Linked DNA regions of Mytilus edulis. The protein of the gene in region 2 binds, or shares a complex with, the protein of the main gene of each other region. Links are inferred from orthologs where the notes say so. Each region holds a gene or a part of one and is shown on either strand. Other genes may lie near its edges. The genes, in order: protein polybromo-1-like and AT-rich interactive domain-containing protein 2-like.

What was found.
Region 1: AT-rich interactive domain-containing protein 2-like (region 2) and protein polybromo-1-like share a complex: the UniProt entries of both Homo sapiens proteins name them as parts of the SWI/SNF-B (PBAF) chromatin remodeling complex. The link is inferred for Mytilus edulis from reciprocal best matches to the Homo sapiens genes ARID2 and PBRM1.

What each region holds. Positions count from the first base shown.
Region 1 is NC_092344.1:83,196,550-83,213,128, reverse strand, and holds the start of protein polybromo-1-like, read right to left. Parts: upstream 6,948-16,579; 5' UTR 6,833-6,947; intron 6,408-6,832; coding exon of another isoform or gene 4,551-6,407; intron 235-4,550; 5' UTR 228-234; coding exon 96-227; intron 1-95. Other genes in the region: uncharacterized protein, read left to right, coding at 4,551-6,407; transmembrane reductase CYB561D2-like, read left to right, coding at 7,023-7,125, 11,192-11,229, 11,484-12,029; FERM domain-containing protein 4A-like, read right to left, coding at 16,056-16,335. UniProt on the Homo sapiens protein: Involved in transcriptional activation and repression of select genes by chromatin remodeling (alteration of DNA-nucleosome topology). Required for the stability of the SWI/SNF chromatin remodeling complex SWI/SNF-B (PBAF).
Region 2 is NC_092353.1:67,052,939-67,069,680, forward strand, and holds the start of AT-rich interactive domain-containing protein 2-like, read right to left. Parts: upstream 6,625-16,742; 5' UTR 6,195-6,624; coding exon 6,103-6,194; intron 6,011-6,102; coding exon 5,917-6,010; intron 1-5,916. UniProt on the Homo sapiens protein: Involved in transcriptional activation and repression of select genes by chromatin remodeling (alteration of DNA-nucleosome topology). Required for the stability of the SWI/SNF chromatin remodeling complex SWI/SNF-B (PBAF).

The DNA.
Region 1 (16,579 bases), on a different chromosome or scaffold from region 2:
GTTTGTTTAAAAAATCAACATAAAAGTTTGGATTAAAAAGATTTTTCAATCAATGACAAAATGCATTTTTCATACTCTTAATAAACGGTACTTACTGGACTGTAATGTGGTGATTTTTTACGTCTCTTAGTTTGACTTGATGGACCAGCTGGGGGACCAGGAGATTCTTCTCTATCTTCACTCTGCTGTTCACCAATGGCCGATATTCTTTTTCTTTTAGCTCCCATATTCTATCTAAAATGTAATTAAAACAATAGAAATTAAAAGAACCTTTGAAGAGCCACCCGAGCCCCGCTCACATGCACAATGCCCTCCACAATGGCAGATTTTGATATATATAGAAATTCTTAATTTGACTAATTATGGACCCTTGGGTTTCGAAATTTCAAAATTAGATTTTTTCAACACAATGAAATAATAATGCATGCACATGAGAGAGAAAAATTGAAAGGGGAGACAATCAAATAATTATATAATGACATTGATCCCTCCCAAAATATTAAAATTGTCAACTGTTTTCTGGTTATACATGTTCATGTTGTATGCATATATGGTTCCCCTATGAATTGCATGCAATGTTCCTTATAAACCAATAGGGCGCTGTAATTACAGTGGAGTCCTTGGTGTAATTAATAATTAATCATCAAATTGAAGAAAAAAAAACAACATTTTATATAATAACCAGTGTTCTCCCCAGGCCGTTTTAGCGTCGCGGTACCGCGACGCTATATTTTCTTCCCGTGACGCTATAATAATTTCCGCGACGCTATAATTATTTCCGCGATGCTATAATTATTTTGATGTTATTTTTCTCGTTTCTATATGACAAAGCCATGTCCTAAATTTTGAACTTTATTCTAATTACCGCTTATGATCATAAAAAATATATTACCTTTAATTGTAATCCCTTCAAGTCGGACAATAGAGGCAATTTAGAGTGATTAAATACAATGTAGGTGTTGATTGCCCTTTGGGTGATAACTGTTTGGATACGAATACCCCACGCTGTCACTTGTGACATGATTGATACCACGTGGTATGCAATCGGAAATTTCGACAAGAATGTAATCAAAAAATCATAAACAAAAAATTCGAAATATATGTTTGCAATATGAAAATTCAGAAAACAAACAATTTTTCTCTTTTTACAAAGAGGTTGAGTCGTATCATTTTATGACTTTCAAAATATTAGTACTTTCTTTCTCTTCCTGTGTAAATCGAGAGTGAAAATTTTGATATTGATCTAAATAAGTTTTGTACTTTCTTTAGAAAGTGATCATAATTGGTTTTAGGTTATGTTGCATCCATTTAATGCATTAAAAACGTCATATTCATTTCCAATCTCTTGTCAAACATTGTTTATTTTCGTATTTTTCATTGCTATCGGCAGCCATTGATTATTTTAGTGTAAACTTCTTATCGGAACCGGACCAGATATGACAAAAATCAGCATTTAAGAATAATAACAGTAGACAGAAACAATGATACCTAAGCATTAACAGACTTCAGTGGCGGATCCAGGGGGGGGTTCCGGGGGTGCGCACCCCCCCTTTATTTTTGCCGATCAATGCATTTGTATCGGGACATATGTTTTGCACCCCTCCTTTGCCCTGGGTGCCCTGGGTTAGCACCCCCCCTTTCGAAAATTCCTGCATCCGCCCCTGGACTTTGTTAGATAACTTTGTTGAAAATAAATACTATTTTGATAAAAAGAAACAACTGGGACTAATTCATTGAGTACCATTAACCAATATATTTCATAACATGATAAAGAACAAGATTTTTTAATTTAAAAGTTATTGCTACATGATACTTTCTCTTCCCTTTTTTTTTTTTTTTTGTAAGAACCAGTGTTTTTTCCTACATATTTAGTGCAATTGTATCTATACAGGATGCACTATAATAAACCATTCATTCATTTAGCTGGGTAGGTACAATGTAGGGTAACTGAAACATAATATATTTTTATTTGGCCCAAGAGGAAAAAAATAATTCTGGAACTATAAAATGAAAATAGAAAACATTAACTGAAAAATCTGTTATCATGCATCATATAGTTAGTTTAATTGTATTCTCAGTTATGAATTCAACAAAATATACACAAAGATTAGGGTGGAATGAAATATTTTATTAAAAAGATGAGGGCCAATAGCATACAAACAATATAATAAATTTGTAATAAACAATAACGTATATAACATAAAGGAAATAGAGCATTGCCACGACGCGACAAATTACATTGAAAAAATTACAATATTTTTTTTTTACGCCAAATGTGATGCTATCCAAAATTTCTGGGGAGAACACTGTAATAACTCCCCAATTTTTATCAGGATTTTTTTGGGGATATATATTACTAAATTTATTTCACTTGAATGGGCCGGTTTAAGAAGTTTGCTTATTTAAGACCAGTCCATCTTTAGACAGGAATGTTGGGATAAACTCATTAATGAAGTGTCCAGTTATTCATCCCATATCATACACTCAGTTCTTTTGTATATGGGTTTGGTGACACTGATATGTGATTAGAATTCAATAATTATTATGGGGACAAAGTCCCCAATAACAGTAGAAAAATCAATAAAAAAAAATCGTTCAATTTTCCTGAAATTTTCATTGTACTAATGAACTCAAAATCGTTCAATTTTTTTGATGTCATGTTTTGAATTCCAGCATCTGCGCATAAATCTACAATGTACTTCCTTTTTCGGGTCTCGTTTGTATGAAATTTTGAGTAAAATATATATTTATCTGTCTAGTATAAAATAGGAAGGAACGCAATACCAATTTCATTTTAAATAATTCCTTGATATGAAAAAACGTTACCTGATGATAGCATTTCTTTGTTTACATTGCATATGACGTCATAACTTAAATAACGTCACAACTAAAATCCCTAACAACAGAACCAAAATCGGAAACGCTACGGTATTTCCGTTTCTGTTTTTTTAACAAATATTTCAGTAACAAAAAAATAATTCATACAGACTTCGTCCCCATATACAGGTAATGCCTGCCTCATATTAAAACGACAATCACCTTCTCACACACATCTTCAAATAGACTGTCCTTATGCAAATTAAAACATAAGCTCCACCGGATCAGTTGAAATAACATACACCTAATCGCTATTCTTTCCATTCTGGATAAATTAAACAACTTTTTCATCCAGTTAAAGCTATCTGGGACCCTGATTAAACAATACACCATGCATGATACTTTTTAATGAGACCTGTTTAAACTACCATAAATACTTCAAACAAAATAATTTTTTTACTTCAATTTTAATTTCGAAAAAGTCATTAGTGGATCATACTCTATCAAAGTTTCTTAATGGTCGCTTTCTAAAGTTTTACCTCCCTCAGCTCACTACTGATGACCTCTATTTTCGGCAGCATGACCAAAACAGGAAGTTGTGTAAATGACTGTTTTTCCTGGATGGACTAAATAACGATCATAGGGTGTATTGGGGGTAACACGAATGACCGAATAACACTGTTATTATCCGAATAACACTTGTAATGACCGAATAACACTTGAAATTCTAATATTATCACATATTGGTGAATTTTGAACATTGATTATTAAATAATAATGTATTATCGATGTATTTTATAACTTAACAATGATTTACAAAAAGCAGATAAGTTCATAAAGATAATTATGAATTTAGTGTGTACATCAAACATGGTGGCCATTGTGATTTCTATGATCGCCATATGCGATGTACATACTAAATTTTAAAAGTTTTTTATGAACTTATCTGCTTTCTGTAAATCATTTATAAGTTATAAAATCTATCGATAATATACTATTAATGAGGGGGAGGACAGGGGTAAGGAAGACAGGGAGAAAGGGGGTAGGAGAAAGGAGAGGAAGGCTGGGAGAAAGGAGAAAAAATAAAATATCTCTCCTTTTAAAAAATGCAAGAAAAAATATCTCAAAAGGAGATGTTTTATTCTAATGGGAGAAAGGAGAACGGGGGTAGGAGAAAGGAGAACAGGGGTGGGAGAAAGGAGAAGGGTACCCCCCTGTCCTCCCCCTCATTAATTAATAATCAATGTTTAAAAGTCACCAATATGTGCTAAAATTGAAATTCCAAGTGTTATTCGGTCATTACAAGTGTTATTCAGATAGTAACAGTGTTATTCGGTCATTCGAGGTACCGTTGTATTGGTAATGCATATAAAAAAATATCTAATAATTGAACTGGAATTTCAATAAAAATTGGGTGCGAAAGTGTAGGGTGGGAACGTGTCGGGTGCTAAAGTGTATCGACTATTGGGTGTGAGCGGACCTGATACATGTAACTGCGGGGGCAGATGGAAAACACTGGCACTGCCTTTTTTGTTATAGTTATTTTTTCTGTTAGTGTTATTCAACTTGGGATAAAGGGAAAAACCTGGTTATGGATAAACAGCTTTCTCACAAATCGAACAGCCAGATGTATGCTGAATAACTTCTTTGGAGAACAATTTGATACCAAAATCGGCTTGCCACAAGGGTCAGTACTATCACCCACCTTGTTTAACATATTCATAGCTGATATAATGGATAACACAAAAGGAGAAAATTGCAAGTTTGCAGATGATGGCACTTTATGGCATAAGGGGAAAGACATAAAGGAAATGAAAGAAAGAACTTCAGAGGATGTCAAAACTATTTTAAAATGGACAGAAAAATGGAGAATTAATGTAAACCTGGAAAAGTGTGAAGTATGCCTATTCTCAAAAGGCAACACAGATGCAGAGCAGAAAACATTAAAAGTCAACTCCTTCTCCTATAGATATAGTCCAACACCGAAGCTACTTGGAGTAACTCTAGACGAGAAGCTTAAATTTGACACCCACATCAATCTGATGCAGAAGAGGGCAAATAATGCAATATATGTAATTAGAGATATTAAGAGCATGGGAGGAATATCAAGATCAAAACTACTCCAAATATACAACAGCATGGTTAGATCTATCATGGAGTATGCATGCCCAGTCTGGCAAATAACATCTGCAGAGAATATGAAGAAATTAGAAGCTGTACAAAGAAAAGGCTTGTCAATATGCCTAGGACTACCAGGAACATCAGGTAGAGAGGCAATGGAAGTTGAAGCCAACATACAACCCATAGACCTCAGAATAGAGGAAATATCAGTACGTGAACTGGCAAAAATACAATCAAAGAACATAGCAGAACCAATTAAACAACAACTAGAACAGTATTTAACAAACAACGCAACCTATGAACAACAGGATTCTCCATTTGGTAAAGCTATAAACCAATCCATAGACATGTTCAAAGCCACGAAAGTTGACATCAAACTTATAGAACCAGAATTCACATACAAAGCTGGTGTAGATGTCATGCTAAGGAGATCACCAAGTTATTGGAGTCGTCTAGGTAGCTCAAAGAACAGAACAGCCGAACAAACTGTTGAAAGTAAACAGGTTGTAAAGGACCTATTAGGAGACAGCACAGACTCAACAGTAGTGGCATTCACTGATGGTTCATGTCAAGGTAACCCGGGACCATGTGGGGCAGGAGCAGTAGTATATTCTGGAAATAGCCAAGGCATAAGTCTAAAGAGGCCAGTAGCTAATAGAGGATCGATACTTCTTGCTGAACTAGTAGCCATACTAATGGTCCTGGAGCACTGTATAACGACTATAAAGGACCAGTTTTCTGAGCTTAAAATACTGTCAGATAGCCAGACTGCTGTAGGCATCTTGACTCTGAACTGGAAATCTTCTAACTACATCGACACAATTACTGATATCAAAGAATGCATGGGAACGCTCTTAAGACACGGCATACTAACAACCCTATCTTGGATCCCAGGCCATGCTAATATAGCCGGGAACGAGATAGCGGACCAGTTGGCAAAAGACGCTGCAAAAGAGGCCTCATCACTAAATGATCAGTATAATGTCATAACCATGTCAGATGTAAGATGTGCAGTCAAGATGTCTACAAAACTCAAATGGCAAAGCAGATGGACAATTAGTGAAACTGGAAGACAGCTTTTCAACCTAATTCCTATCGTTGGTAAGGACGCACAACTAGACAAGCCTAACAACCAAATAGGAAGAATATTGTCAGAAATAAGAACGGGCTACAGCAGACTTAACAAATACAGAAACCAAATCGGTCAATCCCTCACGCCATATTGTGAATGCGGAGAAGAAGAAACATCAGAACACTTCCTGCTATACTGCCCAAGATACCAACAAGAAAGAGAGGACATGCGAAGACAAATGGAACTACTTAACATCGATCCAACAAATATACAGTCAATACTAGCACCACCAAAAAGAGAAACCTACGAAGCAACACCGCAAATTGTAGGGGAATATATTACAAAATCAGGGAGATTCCAAGAACTTGCAATCCCTGATTCCCGATCCTGCGCCTAAACAAGTATACCAAAGTACCGCGAGATATTACCTCGAGCAACGGTGTACCATAAGAGGAGGAAGATAGTACACAGAGAACAGTAGTGTCAATTATTGACCTTAGGATCAGGATCAGGAACAGTATCATGCTGGGCATAATTGAATTCGTGTACATTTAGCTCAAGCATCAGAATTCCACTGTGTCTATTGTAAACATGTACAAGACAAATAAAACTTACAAACTTGTATGACAATAAAAATGCTTTGAAATCAAGGCCTAAACTATAGCCTGTATAGGTTGTTTTTTTGGATTACTGCTTCATTTTCCGTAAAGCACATTTACTAATATATGATGCTTGGATATTTATCATCAATTAGAAACTAGATTTTATCCAAAATTTAGGTTTTCTGCATTGTTTTTGTAATCATTTGTTGTGTTTTCTTACTTTTCTTTGTGACAGACGCCGTCCATCAGCGTCAATGTGATGCTTGCATCGTCTGATTCACTTTTGTGTTTGTTTACAATGTGCGGTGATGAGGGAAATTTAATCAAAATAAATGTTTTTTCTACTGAAAATTTATAAAACTACTTGTTTCTTTGAAAATTTAAACGAAAATAAAACAATTGATGATTAAATGCAATTTATATGCACACAATATTTTTTTAAAACAGTTCCATTAGAAAAGGTATCTTTTTGTCTCAAATCAACACTTTCCCATGATAGTGAGTTTTGGAGTTGTGAGTTGTGGCTGAAACTCACAGTTGAAAAATGGTTGCACACTTTGCCACTATCCTTTTTACAGGATTTATGATATATTCGGCTGTTCCAGGCTCAAGTATTAACAGCTCCATTTTTATTTTAAAACAAAGATGAGAGAGACTTTATAATTTCCCTTTTCCTGTAAACATTTATGATTAAGGTTTATGTACCCTTCTGTAGCCATTTTTGTACGAACTTTTCAAATTTCAATTGTATCAAAACTACAGATATAATGAATAATAGAGATAGGCCATTTTGTACATATTCCAAGGGGAAACTTGATGCAAAGCATTATTTTTTACTGTTCCATTGCATTTAATAGAAAAAGAGGACTTTGTGGCAAATAAATCAAGATTTTTATAGAAAATCCACAGCCTTTATCCTTGTACTCTCATATTTGGCAATTTGATGACTGATAGATATAGGATTATTGCATGCAGTGCAAGCATTGATTTCCTTAAAACAAGTTTACAAATGTAGTTATTGGTTAAGACAAGTATAAATATGGCCAAAATCAAGTACACCTTTTAGGGTGCGCTCGACTTTAGTGACTCAGCACGAGGTGTTTTGGAATTTACAGGTTACTTAGAACTTTTTGTAAAAAATAAACACTAGCACATCATAGAAAATCAAGTGAGTAATTTATGTTTCAAATTTTATAACAAAAATCTCTGTATTAAAGGCTGTGGATTTTCTATAAAAATCTTGATTTATTTGCCACAAAGTCCTCTTTTTCTATCAAATGCAACGAAACAGTAAAAAATAATGCTTTGCATCAAGTTTCCCCTTGGAACATGTACTAAATGGCCTATCTCTATTATTTATTATATCTTTAGTTTTGATACAATTGAGGTTTGAAAAATTCGTACAAAAATGGCTACAGAAGGGTACATAAACCTTAAGACAAAAATCACCTCAGTTTTACCACCTGTCAAAAATGGAGTTGTTTTGAAAATCTATTCTGTGATTGATTATTACTGTTCATCAAAACAAAGGTAAAAATACCTTTCAGGTCATCAAATGCTTCTGTTCCCTGATCTTATTGATTTGAGTGTGTTTCCTGGTCATGGCACCATAAATGTAGCGATTAAAATTGAGGTCATCTACGCTTAGATATACTAACACGTCTGTTCAGCCAATATAGGATTATTACTTTCTTAAATAGAATTAAAATAATTGCTCCTCTGCAGTTCAATCAATATATGTGTTGGTGATTTGAAGTTACATCAGACATATATTTATAGGTCTGCAGAGGAGCATAAAGAAACCATGAATCAGGGATCTCCATGGCCTGTTTAACGATGGTGCCCCGCCATCGTTCAAATGTCTTGCGCCATCGTCAAATGACTTGCCCCATCGTTCAAATGTCTTGCGCCATCCAGAGATGGGTCCGATTACTTTCAATGTAATTGATTAAATTACAATTACTTTGTCATTTGTACGATTAAATTAAATTAATGATTACATCATTTCTGAAAGTATCTGATTAAATTAATGATTACATTGGCAAAGTAATCATGATTACATCTGATTACAATAAATTTAAAAACAAAACATTTGGATGATTTGGATGAATAAACGTTTAATATAACTATAGCATTTTTGAGAATATATTTTATTTGAGTCAATTATAAAATGATAACTTCAAATTAAACGTCATCTAGTTAAATAAACACCAAATTTCACTACATATATATATACATTACACTTTATCACCAATGATCTCTAAATTATTTTGAATTAAATTTTATAAAGATATATCATAATCAAGAGTTTTTTTGTTTGTCTTTTGACCTCTTTCATAATTTATATGTATTCCAAGTTGCAGTTTAAATATGGCTGAAATAAAGTTACCAGTTAAAACTATGTTGAATTTTAATAGAAATGTGTAATCAAATTGTAAACAATATGTATTAAAGTATTTATTAAAAACCATTGCATTTTACACGTCCAGTCCAAATACAAAAAAAAGTTTAAAAACATATTTGTCCAACTTTTAATTTAGTTTGTGCTAATTAGATAAATTTTCATGTCTGATTTATCTTTTATCATATATATTTCCCTACAGCTATACTCAATTGGTAATTGCAATAAAAACAAACCTTAATTAGTCTCCTACCTGTCAATTTAAAGTTGACAAAAATCACAAAAATTAACAAAAGATTATAATTCAGGGTTAAAGAAAAGTATTACTTGAATATATATCTATAACAGTTATAATCAAATATCAATATGAAGATCATTATAAAATGATGAATATACATGTATGTACAATATCTTTTACCAAGATAAAAGGTATATAATTGTATTATATGTCTCTGCTTAGGCTAATGATGACTTTTCAATACTGTAACAGTTTATTCTTTACTGAAGTAGACAAGCTTAAAGTAACCAAACCATTTTAGTATGTTAAAAATTTATCCAATATGAACAAAGAGGTTCATTTAATGACCAAAAACACAATTTTAGATTTTTTTCATTGTAATCAGAATGTAATCAAAAAGTAATCATGATTACAGGGTATATTGAAAAGTAATTGATTAAATTAAATTACATGTAATCAGATTTTTGGCTGATTAATGATTACACTGATTACTTGAAAAATTGTAATCAATTACAGCTGATTAACGATTACAATTACAATTACCCCAAGTCTGGCGCCATCGTTAAATGACTTGCGCCATCGTCAAAACTGTGATCGTTTTTATAGCCTGACGTCATTTTTTTTTAGCAATTATAATCAAATGCATGTAATTGCATAACCTTCGGGCTTTCTTTATAGTATAATCCAGTTCTAACGCCTGAGGGATATCCGGATTAAGATCGCTAATCACTTGTACCTGAGCTTGTACAGGTAGATCAACAAAGCAGACAGGAGAATATTATCTGAAGATAGACGATTCAATTGTCGAATTATTTAATTAAGTTTCCGCAAATGCTTATGATAATTCAGATTAAATAAATAAATTAATAGTCTAGTTACATAGTTTAACAAGTAAAACACGTGCTTTTATTTTGACTTACGCAATCAGCATCCCCCTTTTTAAGAAGTTCAAAATAAGACGTAAAACAGTAATTATTATTTCATCGCAAATAACTCGAGTACTGCTGTATTGTCACGATAATATAGAATTACTTTAAAGGTTAAAAAGTAAAAACTTTTAATATTTCCTGTAAATAAATATCGTATCGTAATTCCGAATTCATTTCGTAGTTTACAATCAAATTGATACATCCGCGTTTCCGGTTTCTATTCCGACTTGAAAAATGCATGTTGCATAGCATCGCTTTTCTAGATAAAGTCATTAAAAACCTTTTCATTTGACAATGTTCGCTTTACAAATCTTTTTAACCTTTTACATAACCCGTACGACTCGTGTTGTCGTTGCTGCAAACCAGCCATATATACCGGTAATGGGTTCATGAATTCTGAATTTGACAATGTCCGTGAAAAATAAGCTCCACATGAATTTTAACCCGCATAACAATTACCGAAAATAGCAAGAAAACTACATTGGGACCTTTGTGATAGCTATTGGTCATTCTCGACTAAGGGAAAGGGAGGGGGCATGAGGGCTTGCCTTTGAAGGGTTACAAATGGCAATTATTGAAAATATATATACTTCTATATACTATAGTATTTATAATGAGAATTCAAATAAATATAATTCAAATAAGCAATGAATTAGCATGTTCACCTATCCTTATGTGGAGGGATGAAAAACTTTCGATCGCGTTACGCTGTACATCGTAGATACGGTTTATGATGGTGAAAGTTCCTCCATCGTTCAATTTTCATCCATGGAGATCCCTGATGAATATGCAGCAGCAAACTTTTATTTAAAAAGCGATTTTGAAAAGACGGATAAACTATAAAAATTGCCTCCTAAAGAGAGGGAATGTCCACCCATTTACGGATTATCGGTCATCTTCTGATTTTATGGTTTATAATCTATAACTTAATTTTGTAATAGTTATTTTTATTTTATACATGTATATAGTTTTTGTTTTTTAGATGAACATCTTTTTTTTTTTAAATTTCAGGTCTATTTTCATGGCATCCTACACTAATGACAATAGCTGTAAGTAATTTGGATACTAACTGTCTAGAAATATTGGCTTGCATGAGTTAAGTAATATTATTTTTTGAGGAAAAAATGTCTACTTTTATTCATGATCATTCATTACTTCAAAACTCTACATTTTGTAATAACAGAGAAATGTCTCCCCTTAGTAGTATATGGTTCGAGTTGAAAGTAAAATAAAGAAAGATAGTGTCTACCCTACATTTAATGCAAGTGATCGATGTTTTAATATTCTTTTACATTTATTTCAGATGATGTTCCTTATGTTTGAAGCTATAATGCTGTTTAACCAACAAAGCTCATTGTTTTTAAGTTGGAGCCGATTGATTCGAGGGACAATACATGGGGTCATGATGTTTTTTGGAGTTGTGTGTGCAGCTGGAGGCTTCACTGCTATTTACCTGAACAAAGACAGAAATAATAAACCACACTTTCAAACCTGGCATTCATGGTTTGGAGTGGGAACTTTATGTTATTTGATATTGCAAACAATAGGAGGCATTGGATTAAAATACTACAATATATTTCGTTTACCAGCAAAGTTAGTAGACATGAAACTTTATCATGCCACTTCTGGCTTACTTGCATTTACAGGCATATCAATAACAGTTTATCTAGCATTGTTTTCTGAATGGTTTTCATCAGTAGCTGATGGCACAACATGGTTTGCCTGTGTGGCATGCTTATCTTGTATGGCATTGACTGTGATGATGCAGGTTACCTCCAATTATATGCCACAGACCAAAAAAGTCCCACAAAATGTTGATACCAGACCAAAACATGGAAAAAAGAAATAAAATTTATGAAGTTTTAATTTCTTAATTTTCTGTAGCCTCTAGTCATCAGTTTTATTAATCTCATGCCAACGTAGTCGAAGGTTACTTTAATTTTGCACTCTGTCTGTCATCTGTCTGGCTGCCTGCCCCACGTCCGGAAAATCAGTTTTCCCCACCTTTTTTTTCATGCTTGAAGATATTGATATTTTTTGTATTGTTTTATCATGACATGCATGACATGTTACAGATCAAATTTAAATTTTGTTCCAGTGTGAAGATTTTGTGCAGAGATATGGTCCTTGGACTTTAATTTTGTGCAGAGTTGTTGTCTTACTACACAAGTCCTTGTTTTTATTTATTCAAAAACACCTGTAAACTCTGAGGTTGTCAGGTCAAACCCAGCTAGTGGCAAGGTGTTTTATACTCTAATCTTAATGGACAAGGATAGCCAATTCTTCTGACATTGGTTGTTGATCCTATACAGGAGGGTCTGGATGGGGTTTATAGAATAGAGTATAATGGACAAAAGTGCAGAATAAATGGCTAGGCAAATAAAGAACTGACAAAAATAGACCTAAAAAATAAAGATTGAGAAAAACAGTATAAAAAAAATTACAGATGAAGGACCTCTCATTCAGGTACTCTATATTCTTCTTTTGCCAATAAATACAGAGCATAATATAACAAATGTCACTAAAAGCAGTGGCGGATCCAGGGGGTCCCACTCTAGTCTAGTCAAGCTTCAGTGATTTCCTATATAATAAACAAAATTTGTGCACAGCTCCTCCCCCCCCCCCCCCCTCTGGATCCACCTATGGAAAGGTGGAGTTAAAAACCAAGCAATAAATAAAGAAAGAAAGAAGAGAAAATGAATTAAAGAACAAGAATAAAATTCCTCCCCAAAATTCATAATAGAATTCTGATAATAACAATTTACAAAGCCATCTAGGGTCAAGAATTAATTTAGAAATTTATTACTTTATTTTCATGACACAATCTGTAAAAAAATCATATCAAAGAGCAACACAATCAAGCAATTCTGGTCAGATTGAGAATATGACAATAAATCCAATGTATCATGAAGCTTTCTGCACGTTAAGAACCCTTTGAGCAACCTTTTAAGGGGTCTGGATGCAAGGCTTAACTTCTGTACCTATCCGATATACACATACTGTGACATTTACCGCCCTTCAGACCAATTGACCCTATTGCAAGACCTACCTGTTGTATTCATTCATTGTTAATTTGTATTCCTCCTTGTACATGCATGAAATATTTGCTGCTGGACGTTAAGCAATCAACAATCAATAAAAACATTCGAGCAATATAACAACACATTACCATTATGCTAAAAGACCATGAGAAGAACACTAAATCAGCTCTGAATCAAAATCTTCTGAACTTTCTCGACTCAGAATTTGGATATTGTGTGAAATTCATATATGGATGCAGGGACTTTCGATGGATGGTGTCAAACGTTGTGACTCATGAATAAAATTACTGGGTCTGCTTCAAAAGCATTATATTCGTTAGATTTGGTGTTTTGTTAAAAGAAGTTTGAATAAATGAGCATCTGCGACTGTCAAAACTCGACCTTCAAGATGAAATAGCATCAACATGTAAAATGGAGTTCACTTCTGTTATATAACTTGACAGGTGTCAGATAAAATCAATTTTACGTCGTGTCTATGATAACAGGATGCCTTATGCTTTCTGGGCAGTGTTCTTTCAGTTTGTCCGTCTAGTATCAGCTTAATGGTCTGGGTAAACTGTTAATAGACATAAGAAAATGTGGTATGAGACAACTTTCCATTCAAGTCACAATTTATAAAAGTAAACCATTACAGTTAAAAGTACGGTCTTGAACACGGAGCCTTGGCTCACACCAAACAGCAAGCCTTAAATGGCCCCAAACTAAAATTACTAGTGTAAAACCATTCAAACGGGAAACCAAGCATGTTTAGCATGAAGATGTGAGTGACATCAATTTGAAAGTAAATATGCATGTTGATGTTAACTTTCTATAAATGTTTGTACTAGTGGATGTATAAAATAGATATTATGAAGTGAAAAAGTACAATGAAATATAAAGATAATGATATCTTGTATTTGCATAAAGATATTATTGTAAAATGAATAGAATTTCCATCTATGGTATGCATGAGCTATTTGCAACTGGACGTTTATCGGAAAGGGAACACGGTTTATTTTTCAATCAACAAGGTCACAACTTTATCTTGGAAACTGGAAAAGGCCTGGAATTTGAATCAGTTGTTTCAGACCTGGTAAATGCTCTTGAATTTTTTAGATGAAATTTGTGAAAAGTCGAATACCGTCCATGTGTATTTTAACTCATTTGAAATGCAAACGACGGGTAATCTATTCAAGATTGATGGCTAACCAAATATTTGACTTATACGACACTGTACAATCTATAGTTAACCAGATTCAGATTAACCAAGATATCGGTATTACCTAAACATACATTTCATTTTAAACAATTTTTTAATCTAAATCATAACAAGAAGCAAATTATGTTTTTGTTAATGACGGAGCATCTATGTATTAAGACAATCTAATATGACAGATATAAGTTTTTTGATTCGATATATTCAAAACTATTCCGTACAATAAAGGAGTTATGGCACATGAGTTATGGCTGACCAAACTGTCACAGTGAAAAAATTGCTAACACCCTTAAATATAAAACAATGTATTTATCGTTTTTTTGTCGAGCCTGCAACTTTTGTTGCAGAAAGCTCGACATAGGGATAGTGATCCGGCGGCGGCTACGGCGGCGTTAGCTAACTTCTTTAAAGCTTTATATTTTAGAAGGTGGAAGACCTGGATGTTTCATACTTTGTATATAGATGCCTCATGTTACGAAGTTTCCGTCAGTCACACGTCCAATGTCCTTGACCTGATTTTCTTGGTTCAGTGACCACTTGAAAAAAAAGTTCAGATTTTTTGTAATGTTGAATTCTCTATTATTATAAGTAATAGGATAACTATATTTGATATTTGCGTACCTTGCAAGGTCCTCATGTCTGTCGGACAGTTTTCACTTGACCTCGACCTAATTTCATGGATCAGTGAACAAGATTAAGTTTTGGTGGTCAAGTCCATATCTCAGATACTATAAGCAATAGGGCTAGTATATTCGGTGTATGGAAGGACTGTAAGGTGTACATGTCCAACTGGCAGGTGTCATTTGACCTTGACCTCATTTTCATGGTTCAGTGGTTATAGTTAAATTTTTGTGTTTTGGTCTGTTTTTCTCATACTATATGCAATAGGTCTACTATATTTGTTGTATGGAATGATTGTAAGGTGTACATGTCTAGCGGGCAGATGTCATGTGACCTTGACCTCATTTTCATGGTTCAGTGGTCAAAGTTAAGTTTTTGAGTTTTGGTCTTTTTATATAATTCTATATGCCATAGGTCAACTATATTTGGTGTATGGAAATATTTTATGATCTTTATGTCAGTCGCGCAGGTTTTATTTGACCGTGACCTCATTTTCACGGATGATTGCACAGTGTTAAGTTTTTGTGTTTTGGTCTATTTTTCTTAAACTACAAGTAATAGGTCAACTATATATGTTTTAGAGAAGCATTGTTAGCTGTACATGTCTGCCTGGCATGGTTCATCTGACCTTGACCTCATTTTCAAGGTTCACTGGTCTTTGTTTAGTTATCTTGGTTTATGTTCTGTTTGTGTGATAGTTGTAATAAAGCTTAGCTTTATACTTAGGACTATCAACATAATATCAATGATTAGTAAAGAAGGCGAGACATTTTAGCGTGTGCACTCTTGTCTAAAACATGTTTCGATTTTTACAATTTTTATTTTTTTACTTTTTGTACGACTTCATGACAAAAGCAATGATATTATTTCCGTGCTCTTTTATGTTTTCGTTAACCACCTTCCCTTTTGAATCCATCACTGTTCATGGTTAAAGGTCGGAATATGCACCGTGTCCAGTAGTAGTAGATTTTTTTCTATTTGCTGCTGTTGCTACAACCTGAAGACAGTATATTTAGTATTACACATAAGATTTTCTCCGTTTCAGTCCATGTTTCCTACACCACTCCAACATCTCATCGGTGAAGCCTCCAATCACGGATTTATTTTCATATGATATGCTCCTACCAACATAAGCAGTGTGTTTAGGAGTTTGCTCATGAACTGGGTCAACAGGTGCATAATCCTCCTGAGAGTTGAAGGGGTCCACAAAATGATAGTTCCCATGATATTGTGAATTCTCGTCTCTACTAAAATGCGGTTCTGTTATAATAATAGCATTCACTTTATTGTTACCATACCTAGAAAAATATATTCATAAATTTATTTTAACAACCATTTTTTGCAAACATGATGTGTAATAGATGGGGAATGACATTTAACCACAAAATAAATTATAGTTGTGTAAGAAAAGTAAGTTGGAGTTTTAAGTTTCCGCGTTCGGTTGAATTCTTTATACGAAAGTTCCATGGATTTGTGAAAAGTGAGTATGTTCTTTTTTTTTGTGATTTTAATCTGGTTCTACAAAAACTGGTGGAATGTACA
Region 2 (16,742 bases):
TTGATTTCTTAAGGTTTTTTTCATATTTTGGTTCCGAAAATTTTATCACTTATTAGTTTTATGAAATACTATATGCTTAAAATATCATGGGATAATTTTTATTACTGCTATGAAGAAGAAACCAAAGTTTGTGTCTGAATTTGCAATTAAAATTACCTCAATTTTAAACAGTCCAAACTTTGCAAATTTTATAGATTAGAAGAAAATAAAATACTAAATAGAATATTTTGACATATAAAAATGGCTTCAGGAAAAACTATTTCAATTAAATGTGAGAAAACATACACATTTTTTCAATTTGAAAAAGGGGGGTTGAAACTTTCCAATATACTACTAGTCATTAAAACGATTTTTTAGAAAAATGTGACCGTACGAAATTCTGACGACAGGGCAAAAACTAAAGAAGACATATTTGTCTTTCAGTTAAGACCATTTTTAGTCGTGTGTTATTTGGGGAGATTAAACTCGCGATCTAGACGACTTTTTACACTTCTGTCACCGCACTATTAGCTTCCTAGAAAGAAGAACGTGTAATTTATCACTGAGTATTCTCCCTTATTTGTTCGGATGCAGTTTCTATAAAAAGGCAAGTTAAACTTTATACAAAATGGTCCACAGAATGTGTAAAGAAAACTACAATAAAATTGAGAATGAACTAGGGAAAGGGCTTTAACTGAACAAGAAGAAAAGCTAAAATCGTGAAAATTGAACTTGATTGTAACTTGTCATGATAAAACAATACACCAAATATCAAATCAATATCTTCAAGCATGAAGAAAAAAGTCTGAAAAACTGATTTGCCAGACTGACTGATGGACAGACAGACAGACAGACAGAGTGCAAAGTCAATTCCTCATTGACTTCGTCGGTAGGGAACTAAAAAAGGGGAATGTGTCAAAGAGACAACAACCTGACCAAAGAGAAGAAAAATATTACTGCAACAAAAACTACAATGTACATGTATGAGAGGTATATATAGTAAATGCAGGTTACATTAATTGCAGATTTGCATTTTTAATAAAGTGAACTTTACTTTGACCTCAAACATCTGCTACTGTTTTCAGCATGTGCAACAAAGGAATAGTTTAATTATGTATGATATATTATAAAAAAATGTAATTTTAATGCACATTTACTGTAAATGTGAGCTTTAGATTTAATCATTGTCAGTGACAAACGTATATGTTGATTGATTATTGTTAGATTATTGCTCAACATTGATTCAGTGTGAAACAGCCATATGGTCATGTCAGCCATACACAGTCTTCATGTCTATGTTATTTTTAAAATTTGACCATGACTAAAATGGAGAATGGAAATTGGGAATATGTCAAAGAGACAACAACCCGACCAAAGAGCAGACAACAGCCGAAGTCAACCAATGGATCTTCAACACTGAGAGAAAATCTTGCATCCAATGGTGGTCCTCAGCTGGCCCCTGCATTTGTTAATAAAATTGTGAACTAGTTCAGTGAAAATGGACATCACGGTCTGTCATGCACACTTAACTCCAAAACATTTAAATAAACTATAAAATTTAAAATAGTACAAGACTAAAAACATGAAAAAGGCCAGATCCTCCTGTCTTGGGAAAGGCACAAAAACTGCATTGACTTGCTGAGCGGCAGTAATGCCCTATATATCTGGTTGCATTTGGCCTGGTAGTTTTATCTAGTTTTAGATTTTTAATAAAAGATAACAGAGGACAACAGACCTCGAACACCAAAGCCTGAAAATGGCTCACAATGGCCCTTTAGGCATGGTGAGCTAAAACATTATAAAATATATAAACTTTCAGAATTTATAACTACCTTTGGCTACATTACATTTCATTAACATGCTTAAATCTGAATAAAATAAGAATTCAGATATTCCAATCTTAAAGATAAAGCCTCAAAATTGAATTTTATGCAAATTTTAGTTAAAAGAGATGATATTGTTACAGGGCCTACATAGAACAGCATTTTTACACCAGTACATTTTTGTGCTGGTGGGCCTGTGCCTGTGGTCGAGCATGAAGACTGAATTATTCTATAAATACTAGCATACAATGTTTATCATACTTGCCCAATAGGCTAAACCAATCATTGCCAATCTAAAGCTTTGACAAAGAAAGTTCTCCTGAAAAGTCTCGACTAACCTAGGAGAAATTTGGTTTCAGAAGTAGCAAAATTTATCCTGTGGGTCTTCATAAAAACCTCAACATTTTTGTCTGTCATCATCAGTGTGTCAAAAAGTTAGTTTAAGTTACAGATTTGATCATGATCATGATGATCTACAAAAATATATATTTTTTAAGACCTCAAGGACTCTCAAAATATTACATCCATAAATCTTGTTTTATTGGCCAGTACTGTTTCAAATGTATGTGTCAGGGTTGATTTATTTAAAACAGCAGGTAATTATAATAACTATAGTAAGAACTACAATGTGATACAGTGAATAAAATGTATGCCAGACTCCAGTATTTTACAACTGCTACATTATATTTTTTTTTACATATATAGCTCAGCTTAATTAATAAAGACAGTTCAAAATGATTTTGGATAAAAGTATAGACAGGGGTTAAACATTTTTGTAGACAGCTCACTAGCCCAGGATTTTTGGTAGCAGGATTTTACTAGCCCTGTTTGAACTTGAAGAACTGCTCGCACATCAAGTCTGACATACTAGTTGAGCATGCCTTACAAATTCATAATTTGCTGCATAATACAATGAATTCTATAATCTAGTTCGCTTTAATCTGTTGTATTATGGGTGGTAAATATTTACAGGCACAGAAAATATGTTCATGGGTCTTGTCATCTGAAACCAGGTAGTGTTTCTAATCAAATATTTGTTGATCCCACATACATAGAAGACTTTTATTGGTGTGATCTGGAAAATATTCACAAAACATTGTCTATATCATCAACATCAGTAACAGTTGACCTTGCCCAGTAGAATCTATTTGTCCATATATTCTATAAATGTTCTTTTCAGCTTTTTGGGGGGACTAATTTTCAGCCCCATCTGGCGCCCATCATCTTCTGTTTTTCATTTTGAAACTGTCAGACTGTGACAATGTTCCAGTGGTACCTACTAAACTATTTAGAAATATTTTATTGCATGGTTTAGTGTTCAACAGCTGTCTGACAAGAGTTGAAGACAGGTCAAAGGTGACTATCATTCAATGCATCATAGTCCCCAGTACTGTTAATTGAAAATTTTAGCATAAACAATGTACAATACCCCCTCCCCCCCCCCCCCCCTGTACTGAGAAATCCATCTAGTGCAATTTTTAACCCCTGGTAAGAAATTTTCTATTTTTCTGCAATGAAGCTTAAGTTTATTTCGTATATAGATCAATATTTTTTTCTCTCTTATCCAAAACATATATGTATAAAGTGTTAAAGATGGGACTTAATTGGTTTCACAATAAGTGGGGAAAAGGCACCTTGAAAATGCCAAGCATCATGCATGCATGTGAATATTACCTGCTGACAAAAATGAAATATTATACTGTAAGTGTTACGTGTATGAAAACTACATTAAAATGAATTGGTTCAATATGTTCTTTTGGGCTTTCCAGACTGCAACATTTTTTTATTTTCTATGAAAAGTCATAAATACATTTACATTACATAAATACATTTACATTACATAAGTAGTGTGAGATCAGCCCACAATTTTTATGGAAAGTTTTCAATGTCAATTGACTTTTAATCAATAATGATGGGGTTGCATTGGAGCCAAATATTCTTGATTATTACATAAAAGTTTCTTTTAAGCTTACAGGAAATTATTTCTCTAACTTTCAATGACAGCATACTCGGACTTATGATAATAAATAAGTTGTCTTCTATATCTAACCATGAATGTAAAGTTAATATGAAGGTGATTTCCATCACATACATGTAACTCTACCTTTCTAATAAAATTTACCCATTTTACACATGTTATATACCATGTATACATCCAATTACAATCTCAGAAAAATATGGTATACATTATAGAGGAATTTGCTTTGGTATGTTTTTTATAAAACTAAAACAAAAACCTTTACTGAAATCCAAATCCTGTAAGTCTTTAATTTAATATCTGAACGTTTGAGAGTGTGAAGGACAAAAAAAAATACAAGGTTTTTAATAAATAAGAGTCCAGCTTACTAGAGCTATTTTTAGATTTAAATTATTATCAGAGATTACACTGTCACTCTAAGAGCATGGTCATTGATTAAAAGGTAAATTCCAGTTCTATTTATAGATCACTTGTACAATGTAAGTAATTATCTGTTTTTCTTTATCATGTTTATAACTACATTTTTGTACTAAATGTAAACATCTTGGATAGCAAATGACAATTGCATGGATGTGCAGACAACATCATTTCAATATACAGCACTTATAATTATTTATGAACAAACATGACAAGAGGAGGGGGTACATTTGCAACTTAAAACCTTCAAAGCTCTGCATAATCTTAGTTAGGCCTAAATTAAAATATTGTTTGTTTCCCCAATCCTGACCCTGCCAAGCCAAATGTGGGTAGATAGGTAGGGAAATAATTTTATTTTTCAGCTGCTATCCTTTGGTTATCATATATTTTTTTCAAATATTCACTACATGAATAATTTGTTTTTTCCCCAGCAGCATATCCATACATTTTACATTGAAGCTTTTATCTTCAGTTTTAAAGAATAAACAAGACATTTTCAAAATATGCTATTTTTGTAAATTTGAATGTTCATTTGTTCATGAATCTGATTTGCTAGAATTACTTTTGCCATTACATTCTTCTGGCTGTCTAAAATTTCATACCAAAGAAATGTCTTCTAGCCTATAAAGCTTTGAGTTCAACTTTCATTTTAGAATCTTCAAATTAAATTGAAGTAAATTCTTTGATCAACGTGATAGTTGATTTTGTTGGTTTCAATGTTCTTAGCAAAAATGTAAATATTCTTTTCTGCTGAAATCTCTTCATTTTTTGCTCTTTCACCATTTTCTGACAAAATATCACTAAAAATCTTGCATAATGTTCTTAAACAATAGTGAAATATATCTAGTTTGTCCAGGTGTTTTTTTGAAAGGGTGTTACAATTGTAATGGAAATACATTTTACATGTACTATCAAACCACCAACTTTCGCAACTTAAATTTTATTTGGTTGGATTCAAGCTGACCTGCAAAATGTACATGTATCTATTCTTAAATCGAAAGTTCACTCATTCGAATTCTATGTCATGTACATGTATGTACATTTTTACAATGAATAAGGAACTGCAATACTGGTGATCGCATACATATTATAAGAAAAATATTTAACAATCAAGGTATTAAAAGTGCAATCATTCATAAAAAAAAGTTGCACAAGTTAAACCTTGCATTTTGTTTTTACTTAGTTTTCATCATGTTCATAGTACAATGCATATATTTATTTACTCTAAAATTAATCAATTTTCAAATATATCAAAAGTGATTTTGCATATCATTGGCATGAATTATAAATGTCTATTCTTTTCTTTTGGGGGTCAATTTTTCAATCCTGCAAAAAATTGGCTCACTCTACACAGTTGACCTTGATTGCACTTTATTTTTGCATAAATACAGGCCTATTTTTAATTGTCAACCTAAAAATAAATAACAAGGGATTGCATATGCATTGTTGTTATTCTTTAACAACCTCAAACAATACAAAAACTAACTAAAATCTGCAGATTTTGGAATAATATTGCCAACTTGCAATACACACAGTAAGCCCCTCCCCTTAAACCACAACATGGAAGCCATCTTTAAAATGGCAATGCATTAAAAATATTTTGATCTATTATTGCCAATATTTATAGATCATAATGACAATCAAAGAACAAGAGAAGCGCGAGGCTTCTATTGATACACTACTTGACTGTGAACGGAGGTAAATTCAAACCGACTTTACCTTTCGCAATCCACCAAAGCTGATCACACGCCGATACAACAAATACAGGTCGATCTCTTTTCCACCAATTTTAGGAAGTTTTTCAAATGGTGTTCTGAAATATAATAATTAAACATGAAAATATAAATATATTGTAATTATATAATAATATGACAACAATTTAATAACTAAGAAAGATGAACTTACCCTCTGTTTTTGTTGAAAATGTGAATTTCTTTTAGAAATTCGTTCTTTTCTTGCTGGAATGTGAGCGGATCTTTGTTTAAAATATTGGCCATAATATCACAGTTTTACACTACTTTCCGTCACTAAATCCAATAAATATGATAAAACATTGAAGTATATTGTTGTTTGTGCAACGCGCACTCAAAAAAACGTAAACACAGGGTTGACAGACGAAGGGAAAATCCTCAATATTATCGGGGATTCCTCATTATTGTCGTCGGTTACCGTTCAGTCAACGCTTTCTTCACACACACAAGGAAAACGCACTCCACAGTAAAAATCGATAATGTATTACTTTCCAATAACTTGTCCGAAGAGATCCTCTCTTTAGAAATTAGCTGGATATTTAATTTTAAATGGTCATTGTTGACCCTACGTGGACTTATTCTTGGAAAATCGTAACAAAAAACATAATAATCATGCCTGTAAGCAATTGTCCGTAGAGGGCCATATATGCAATTGACAATATCCCGGCGTAGTTATTCAAAATGGAGGGTACTTGACGAAATTTTACGTTTTAAAAATTTCTAGTCTTAAGAGAACTTTAGATTTAACCAGGATTTTGTCAACAGAAAATAAATGATTTTAGTCGCCAAAATCAAAGTTTTGATGACGCTACATAGTGGGAATTAAAGACGAAAGTACTAATTTCATAGACATTAAAGACTCAAATTACTGCGCATGTGCACATTTTGATTATGAAAGGAACCAGATCAACTGGTAGCAAAAAGACTACCCTCAGCTCATAATTTCCATAATTCTTTTGTTTCAGAAGGTTATTTTTACGAGATTTTATAGTGACACTGCTATTTATATACATGTATATTTAAGTTTTCCGTGAAAATAGAGTTTTTAATTACGTGTTGGGTTAATAACGATCATTAACCAGTGGCGGCCGGATCTAAAAATGTTCTTTAGAGGGGGCCTGCTCCAGTCTGTCATTCTCTAGTAGCACATGTATATCTATAGTATATAATGAACCCTTTTTTCCACTGAAAAAGGGGGGCTATCCCCCTAAATCCGCATCTGTTAAGCTTTCAGGGGGATATGACCTTTATCGGGACTTCGGGATTGACCCTTTTGGGATCCGAGAATTCTTTTTTCGAATTCGAGATGTCGAGATTTATTTTTTTTTTTTAAATTCGGGACCTCGTGTTTTTTAAGCCCGGGATTTCGGGATCTGGACCCCTTCTACCCCCTCTCACCTTTTTATCGGGAACATATGTCAAAACTGAAAATAAAGGAGGGTGTATCTATCTGAAACACTAATAGGCCTTGAAAAATAGGAAACTCACCATGCAGGTATGGACAAACTGCACCTACCTTAGATTACTAAAAGAGATAGCTGAGCCAATAGAAAACCCGCTTAAATAATAATGCATTATCTGTTATTGGTCACCTGAGAGTAAGTCAGTCCCTACTGACTGGAAGAATGCATTGATAAGAGGGTGGGAATGTTAGCCCTTCTTAAATTACCGACAAGCGTCAAACGGGCATTTTCGGCTACCGTTAGCGTAAAAAATTTTAAAACGTGATTCGTCAAAATCAGTCAATTATTGTATTGTCTAAAAGAAAAAGTACATTTTATCGTCCTGCACCAAAAATTATCGTTAACGTCATTTGGAAAGAAGTTTTATCGTCATTCGTCATGCCCCAAATTATACACCTGTAAGTTTGACATCAGTTGTATGTAAAATAATGGAGAAAATGTTGCGGGAATTTATAACAGAGCTCATAAAAACAAACAACCTATTCTCTTAAAAAAAACCAACACGGTTTCATTGCAGGGAGGTCAACTGGTCTTCAATTGTTAGAAATGATTGATACTGAGTGGACAGAGGCATTGTATAAAGGTTTAGACATAGACTGCATATATACTGACTACGAAAACTTTTGATAATAGTAGGGTGCCCAGTAACGATATTTATCGACTTTGGGTAAATGGAATAACATACGGCTGTAGGCTACCCATATGGCATCTTTGTAAAGAGGAGAACAAGCCTCATCGAAATATTGATATTGTCGTCGCTTGGAGTTGCTGTGGTCAGGTTTTCTTAGGTCCAAGGTCAAAGCTAAAATTTCAAGGAAAACGCAGAATCACGTTTGGACAGCTGGTTGCCCCTACAAATATGCGTTTAAAGCAACAACAAAAAAAAATCATTTTTTTCAGAGGATTGTAATTATTGTTTCTATATTTAGACCTAATTTGATATTCATATTACCACATATGGACCGAGATCGACATTTGTACAGACTTATTAAAGAGGTACAATTAGTGCCCATGGGAATATCTACAATCTGTCGATAAATTTAATTGCGAAACCGAGAAAAAATAAGGCTGTAATCATCTCATCACACCTCCAATAAGTATATCTAATATATTTACTTTTCTCGCAGTTTGAGAAAAAAGTCTTTGTACGAGTAGCAGGCTAGCAAATAAATTTGCAATTAGAATTATCGAACGACGATTAAATAAAACTACCGTTTGATAAGATTGCGTGGAAGTGTAGTGGAAAAGTTAAAACTGTCAACCGAATCATAAAGACCACCATAAGTACGTATATAACTTATCTAATACCATTAAATCGCAACTTTTAAATAATGTTACAATTTAGAGAGAAGCCAACAATTTTTTTTATAAATTTAATACTTACCAAACTAACTTCATAAAAACGTATTTCATCCTTTCTTTACCCTATAAGAAACTTTCATAGGAGCCGCGGATTGGGGTATATCGTCCTCATATTTCCAAAATTATCTTGCCAAGTTAATTGATGACGTCATGTGTTTAAACAGTTATAGACCAATCAAATCGATATTAACGTCGTTTCATTAAGGTCACCCGAACCGTGCAGATTAAATGATATATATACCGACTTGCTTGGCCAATTACAATAGCGTATTTTTAAAATGGAATGGACTGCTACAATCCTTCAGCCCCTTACTACAGAAAATGTATACACAGTTTGAAAGCTTATTGATAAAGGAACAAAATGGTAAGAATCAATATGTGCCGCAGTGCCCGTTTGAGGGATTACGGAGGTCCTAAATGCCAAAATACGTGAAAATCAAATTGAATAATGGAATGGAATGGACTGCTGCGATCCTGCAGCCCCTAATTACAGATATACCTTATACGTTATTCGTAAGCTTATCCATAGGGGAACAAAAGGTTTATAGTCAATATGTCCTGCAACACCTATTAGAAGAGTTACTGAGAACCTAAATGTTGGAATACGCGTTAACATTAAGAAATAACTTATTTTGAATAATTGAATTGACTGCTACGACACTTCAGCCCCTACTTACAGATTTTTTTACACCATTTGAAAGCTTTTTTTCGACTGATTTTTATCATTCAAACTAATTTTACTTGAAAACGAGTTTAATTATGGACCTCTCGTTTTTAAAATTAAATTTGGTGTAATTACGTATAAAGAATATTTGTACCAATTTTCATAAAAAAGTCAGTAATGCATTTTTTTTTAAATTTGATAAATATACAGCACAAAAAAAATGCACAAATGTATAAGATACTTATATAGAATAGATATTACAAATAATTTAACAAAAACAGCCTGTGTTTATCTTTTGAAACAAAAAAGTTATGTAATTCTTTCGAAAGGAAAAATACGTCAACAAATCCGAATTTTGAACAAATATCTGAAATTTCGACCTCTTTTTACACAAAAAGTAGCACATGAAGGTATATTTTTTTTTATTAGATATTTGATTTAATCGGGTAAAAAATAGCCTATATGCAAAATTTCAACATGGAATCAAAACTATATCGTATTCCCTTAATGCCAAAATACGTGTGAAATTAAGAAATAGCCAATTTGGAATAATGGAATGAATATTTTGAATAATGGGATTGACTGCTGTGACAATTCAACCCTCATTACAGATCTATCATATACGTCATTCGAAAGCTTATCAACATGGGAACAAAGGGTATATATACAATATGTTTCGCAACGCATATTAGAGGAGTTATGGATGACCTAAACGTCACCTTTAAATAAGAAGAGGAGCAATACATGTCCAATTCTTATTTAAGGTGACGAAAAGAAGTCTACGATGAACCAACTCAAGATGACATTTTTCTTCGACTGATCCGGGATTGTTCCGAATTTCAACATATCCCTGCCCATATCACTGCCAGCCCCAATAATGTTCTGATGTTCTGACAAGTCATATTATATATATATACTATTGTCAGAAACAAATGAACCGATGACATTAATTATGGTTTGATAGGATTTTTACAAGCCATGTGCCACTCGAGAAGCAGAGACAGCCTACCCTTCCGGTGTACCCAATTTTATCTCTGTTTTATCTGAAAAGGGGGGGGGGGTATTTGTTTTATTTATTTTGTGTGAAGTGTTTTGTTGACATTTGTTTTTTCGTTGTTTCTATTTTAGGTTACCCAGCTACAGATTTCTCTATTATAACTAATAACTATGTATATAGTATATTCTTTGTCTACCTTACATACATACGAAATGCTTCTATATATTCTAAACAGAGTACGTATATCATACTGGATATGTACATGTGAACAGTTTTTCAAGCTTAGAACTTAATAAAACTAGATGAATAAAGGGATAACGGCAATGCGTTAGCAACATAGCGGCTAGCCTAAAATAAGAAGCGATCTATTATCTCACTAAAAAAAACCTTTTGTGTCGTTGAAATGTTGTATGACTATCATTTGCATATACCATGCAGCCATATCCTTTTAATTTTCTCGGAAGCTGCTTCTGAGACTGCCTATTGCATCCGGCTAAGATGTCGTCCTCCACAAATCAATTTAGCAGTGGTCCCCATGGAAAGTAAGAGTTTTTAAGACTAGAGAAATACAATACATCTAGATGTTATGATTCACATTTTAAAAATTGTTGTTACGGTTAATTTGAAATTCAAGATCTCCGCTACTTAGGAACTGGTTAAATTTAAAAAACCCTATAGCTACTAGTATATAAAATTGAGAATGGAAACGGTGAATGTTGTTTAACCTCGCTGCATGTTTGTGTCTGTCCGATGTCGTCAACCTCTGCCTTTGTAAGTCTTTAATGTTTGTTTAAATGTTCATTAATATGTGCTGGAGTTAAGTGTAACGACCATTTTTGCTGAACAAGTATACATTATTGTATAAAGGGACCAGTTTAAGAACGCCTCCAGGATCGGGATTATCTCGCTGCGTTGAAGACCAATGCATTGCCATTGGTGGCCTTTGACTGTTTTCTGGTCTTAGGCTGGGTTGTTGTCTTTTAGACATATTCCCCGTTTCCATTCTCAATTTTTAAACACATACTGTATGCAATCGCTTTAAAAAGATGATTTATGCATAAATGCTGGTGGTTCTTCTAATCATAAACTTTGAATTTTGATATCCGAAAAAACGATAATGATGATGACGATGAGATAAAGGACTGAAGAAATTCTAACACAGTATAACTGAAAAATAAAAGATTCCGGTCAAACCAGTACTAGTTGATCTAATCTCAAACTTGTAGTGAGTGTGCTTTTATGCGACGTGTTCATGGTCTTACTGTGATTTTTTTTATAAAGAGGTCAGGAGGTGGAATAAAAGCATTGCTCCCTTGCTATTAATTCGGGGGTGGGGGTCACCGGAGCTTAATCAATTACGTAAAGCACGCTGGTAATGAGAAGGATAAATGTTCTTACTACAAATGTTTTGAGAACTTTCAGATATAGATTAAAGTTTAAACACACCATCGATTTATAATTAAGAGTAGCAATGTACTGAAATATAAAGTAAACATTGTAGTATTTGTTGTAAGAAAGATAACTCCAATTTATAACTTAACTGCATAACGATAGACTCAATATACGGGTTATTGTTTTGGCTTTTTTTTTTTGGGGGGGGGGGGGGGGGTTCAAAGTGAACCTCCGGCGGATCCAGTCATTTTCCCAAGAATAAAAGGGAGTTTCAACATACTAGTAACTAGTATGTCCAACACTCAAATGCATAGAACTTTAAAAAAAAAACAACAAAAAAAAAACTTTATTTGCCACCCCCTTCCCCCCTTGAACCACAGGCACTCGTCTAAGAAGAAAAATTTCCTATATGTGTTATATAAAGGTATATAGGAGGGGGGACATTTGAGACGAGTGCCTGTGCCTTGAACCCGCCACTGAACCTGGTGAAGTTTATTCCGATACATGCATTCAAATTTGCTGAACTAGATTTATTGCCAAAATTGAAAACAAGGTTACATAATTTCTTTAGTTCGAATGCGACAGTTCAGATAATGAAGATTTTGATAAACAAAGGATATTTAGTCCATTTGCATTTGTTTTATAGTAAAGCTTTACAATTCATAAATACCGGCATATGAAACATTAACTACAGGAGGTCGTAGGTTCAATCCCCGACCGGGTCAAACAAAGACTTGAAAACGTATTTTCTCATTCAACTGCTCATTGTTGAAGGCCGTACGGTGATTTATAGTTGTTAATTCCTGTGTCATTTTGGTTTCTTGAACAGAGTGGTTTCATTGGCAATCCCTAACATCTTATATTTGCCATTTCTTAATAAGCACTCGCCATAAGGAGGTAAAACCAATGACTGGTCGGCTCGGAGTCAGAATAATGTGTCCTGGGTGAGTGACATGTCTGTCTGTGTACTGGTATCATGTGAGATACAACGTTATAAGATCCTGCTGGGTTGGTCTAAAACGCCTGGGTGAGTGACATGTCTGCCTGTGTACTGGTATCATGTGAGATACAACGTTATAAGATCCTGCTGGGTTTGTCTAAAACGCCTGGGTGAGTGACATGTCTGCCTGTGTACTGGTATCATGTGAGATACAACGTTATAAGATCCTGCTGGGTTGGTCTAAAACGCCTGGGTGAGTGACATGTCTGCCTGTGTACTGGTATCATGTGAGATACAACGTTATAAGATCCTGCTGGGTTGGTCTAAAACGCCTGGGTGAGTGACATGTCTGCCTGTGTACTGGTATCATGTGAGATACAACGTTATAAGATCCTGCTGGGTTGGTCTAAAACACCTGGGTGAGTGACATGTCTGCCTGTGTACTGGTATCATGTGAGATACAACGTTATAAGATCCTGCTGGGTTGGTCTAAAACGCCTGGGTGAGTGACATGTCTGCCTGTGTACTGGTATCATGTGAGATACAACGTTATAAGATCCTGCTGGGTTGGTCTAAAACGCCTGGGTGAGTGACATGTCTGCCTGTGTACTGGTATCATGTGAGATACAACGTAATAAGATCCTGCTGGGTTGGTCTAAAACGCCTGGGTGAGTGACATGTCTGCCTGTGTACTGGTATCATGTGAGATACAACGTTATAAGATCCGGCTGGGTTGGTCTAAAACGAAGCAGGGTTCATATTGATATCATATGAAGATTCACCTGTTTTCATCTTGATTCTGCTATTGCCTGATATGTTGCAACTTAATACCATAATTTTTGTGAGTATTATGACGGGTGTCCCATGTCAGGAAGGAAATATATACCCTCCCAGACCACCTAAGGGTTTCTCTTTGCTCAGTAATAGTTTTCTGTGTTGTATTTTTGTAGACTGCTGTTAATATTTGGTCGTTTTTTTTGTTGTTTTTTTTATGGCGTTGCCAGTTTGTCTTCGCATAATGAATTTGAATATTACTTTGGTATTTTCCGAAATGAGGAGATTTTGTATAAATTTTGTCGGCAAATTTCTGAAACTTTGATTTAAGTAGCTGCATTGTTTTTACATTTTTTTAAGAGTTGGAACGAAGAATTTTCAAAGAATGTTTTTTTCTTCATTTTATAGTTTCCTACACAAATATCGATAAATGCACCTTTTCAACAAAAAACCGCTGACTTTTTAAAATTTTCTATTTTTTATTGCAAATAAATACGTTTCTATACATCTATATGCATTGATTATTTGTTGCTTAACATCCAGTGGCAAATATTTCATGCACGTTCAAGTCGTGAAAAAAATAAAGTTTTATTGAAATACAATAGATTGGGCCTGTATAGAGGAGAAGGCAATACACAATATACCACTCCTTTAGCCCCCCCCCACAAACAAAAAATTATCTTCAATTTTTGACCCCCCCATTTTAAAGAAAAAAACCCCTTTTTACATCCAAAATAAAAATTTTACCAACATTTTTTGTGTGATTTTTAACTTCAAAATTAAGAAGAAAAAAAACACACTTTGTATTTATACCCCCCATAAAAAAAATAAAAAAAATTTTTTGTAAAGAGCACACCAAAACCTTAATCCTGGGGTTTTTTATAAAACTCATTTTTTCCCCTAAGGGGAGTAGTATAGTACTTGAACGACTCCAGCACCCCCCTCCAAAAAAAAAAATTTGACCCCCAAAAAATTACCCTCATTTCAAGTAAAAGAGCCCTAAATTTTCATAAAAAAAAAAGTAAAAAAAAAAAAGCAAAAAAACACCCCAAAAAACACCAAATTTTCTTACTCCCAAAAAAAAACCGGGATAACAGGCAGAGAAAAAATTCTGTGGGATTTAAGAGAAAAAATAATTTCCCCAGTGCGCCCCAACCTTGATTTTTAATTAATTTTATCAATATAGTCTAGTAATAAAACGGATCAATACTACTACAACTTAAATTGCTTTTTACATTTGCTATTTAATAGGACATGACTTTTAAATAGACAAAATCGATCATTGGAAATATTTACATGGTTGTCAAGAGTATGTTTACATGTTGCCTAGACAATGTTGTCATCACATGTAAACATATAGCAGACTGGTGCGGTCTTTCGTTTCAAATTAACAGTGGTGAGAAGACGTGAATTAATGTTTCAAGAAAGTAATTCTACAAAAGAAATACAAATGGAAATTCAAGAGTGTCAGGTGCAGCCTCAACCACAGAACTGGTCATGGAGTTTAGAAGAAAGTAACATTTTGATAGAAAATATCAGTTACTATCAGAGCATGATTGAGACAATCGAAAGAGCTAAGAGTTTGGGACCGGTTAAACTTCCAAAAGCTCCGAAAAGAAAGGTGCAGGACTTATTTAAAGAAAAACTGGGAAAGAAAAAAAAGCAAACTATCACGACCCCTGAAGAACTTCACACCTTTCTAATGAGCAGAAAGGCGGATTTATCAAAGACAATTTCGAGGCAGAAGTTTAGTTTTAATATAGAAGGCGACCCTGTTAAACAGTTACAAGAAGCATACAAACACTTGGGAAGACATAATGCCCAAGGTATGCTGTTTAACATTCTTTTCGGTGATTTCCTTAATGCTTTGAGAGACTGGTTTATTTCAGCAAAGGTCAATACAACGTGGGACACATGGTTATCAACTCAGATAGATATATCTATACCTCATGCTCGGAAATTAAGACAACTTTCTAATCTACTTAAAGGATTTAAAGGTTTTCTGAACATTAATGTTTCAATCAATGATATTCTTTCAAAACAAGAACTTATTAAACAAATGTTAGAAATTGATCAGTTTGCCACCTTTTGGAGACAGGTAGACATTATTCCAGCAGATGATAAACTTACTCCGTCACAAGAAGTTTGATATGTATGTGATATTGTATTCCATATAAGGAGTGATCATACATGATCAGTAGGTGGGACAACTCTTTACTATTGATTTTCTTATTCCATATAAGGAGTGATCATACATGATCAGTAGGTGGGACATTGTAACGGTTATTCATAACCGGGTAACTTTTAGTGGATGTGACAGATCTAACTTTGAACAGTGATATTATGTTTATAGTGTTTGATTTGTATGTATTCATTGCACTTTTGTTTTCAAATTAAAATTTTGAAACTGATTATTGTTTTGGTAATAAATTAACCGTAAGTAAAGGAGGAGCGAAAAACCAAAGGGACGTTATATCTCATAAGTAAAAAGTAAATCGACAAAGCCATGGCTAAAAAAGAAACAGACAAACAGACAAACAACAGAACACAAAATACAACACAGAAAAAAACCTAAAGACTGAGAAACACGAACCCCACCAAAAACCGGGGTGATCTCAGGTGCTCTGGAAGGGTAAGCGGACCCTGCTCCACATGTGGCACCTTTCATTTAGAAAGATCTAAAACTTAGTCATCTGTAATTCTTGTTCATAGAAAGAACCTGTTATTTCTTCGCCTTTTAAATCAATTATTTTATAAGTAAAAGGAATTGTATTTAAAACTTTTTCAATTACAAATATTTCTTTAGTCCAACGAGTAGTATAACCCTTTTCAAATTTACCCTTCTTTTTTGTTATTCTTACTCTAGTACCTGCTTTAAATTTAGGTTTTTTAATGTTCTCTTCTTTTTCTGGATATAAATTTTTATACACTGTTAATTCATTTTTTAATTTACTTGCTTGAACAGGTGTCATTTTAATTGAAGAATGTACTGTATTATTATAATTTTTAACTAATTTATCTAGTATATCATAATATTTAAAAGTTTCATTAGCAGTAAAGTATTTATACATATGTTGTTTCATTGTTCCTATCCAGCGTTCCACTACACTGGATTTTTCTTCATTCTCAGTTGAATATAACTTTATGTTATTATCTTTTAACAATTCTTTTACTTGTCGATTATAAAATTCAGATCCTTTAT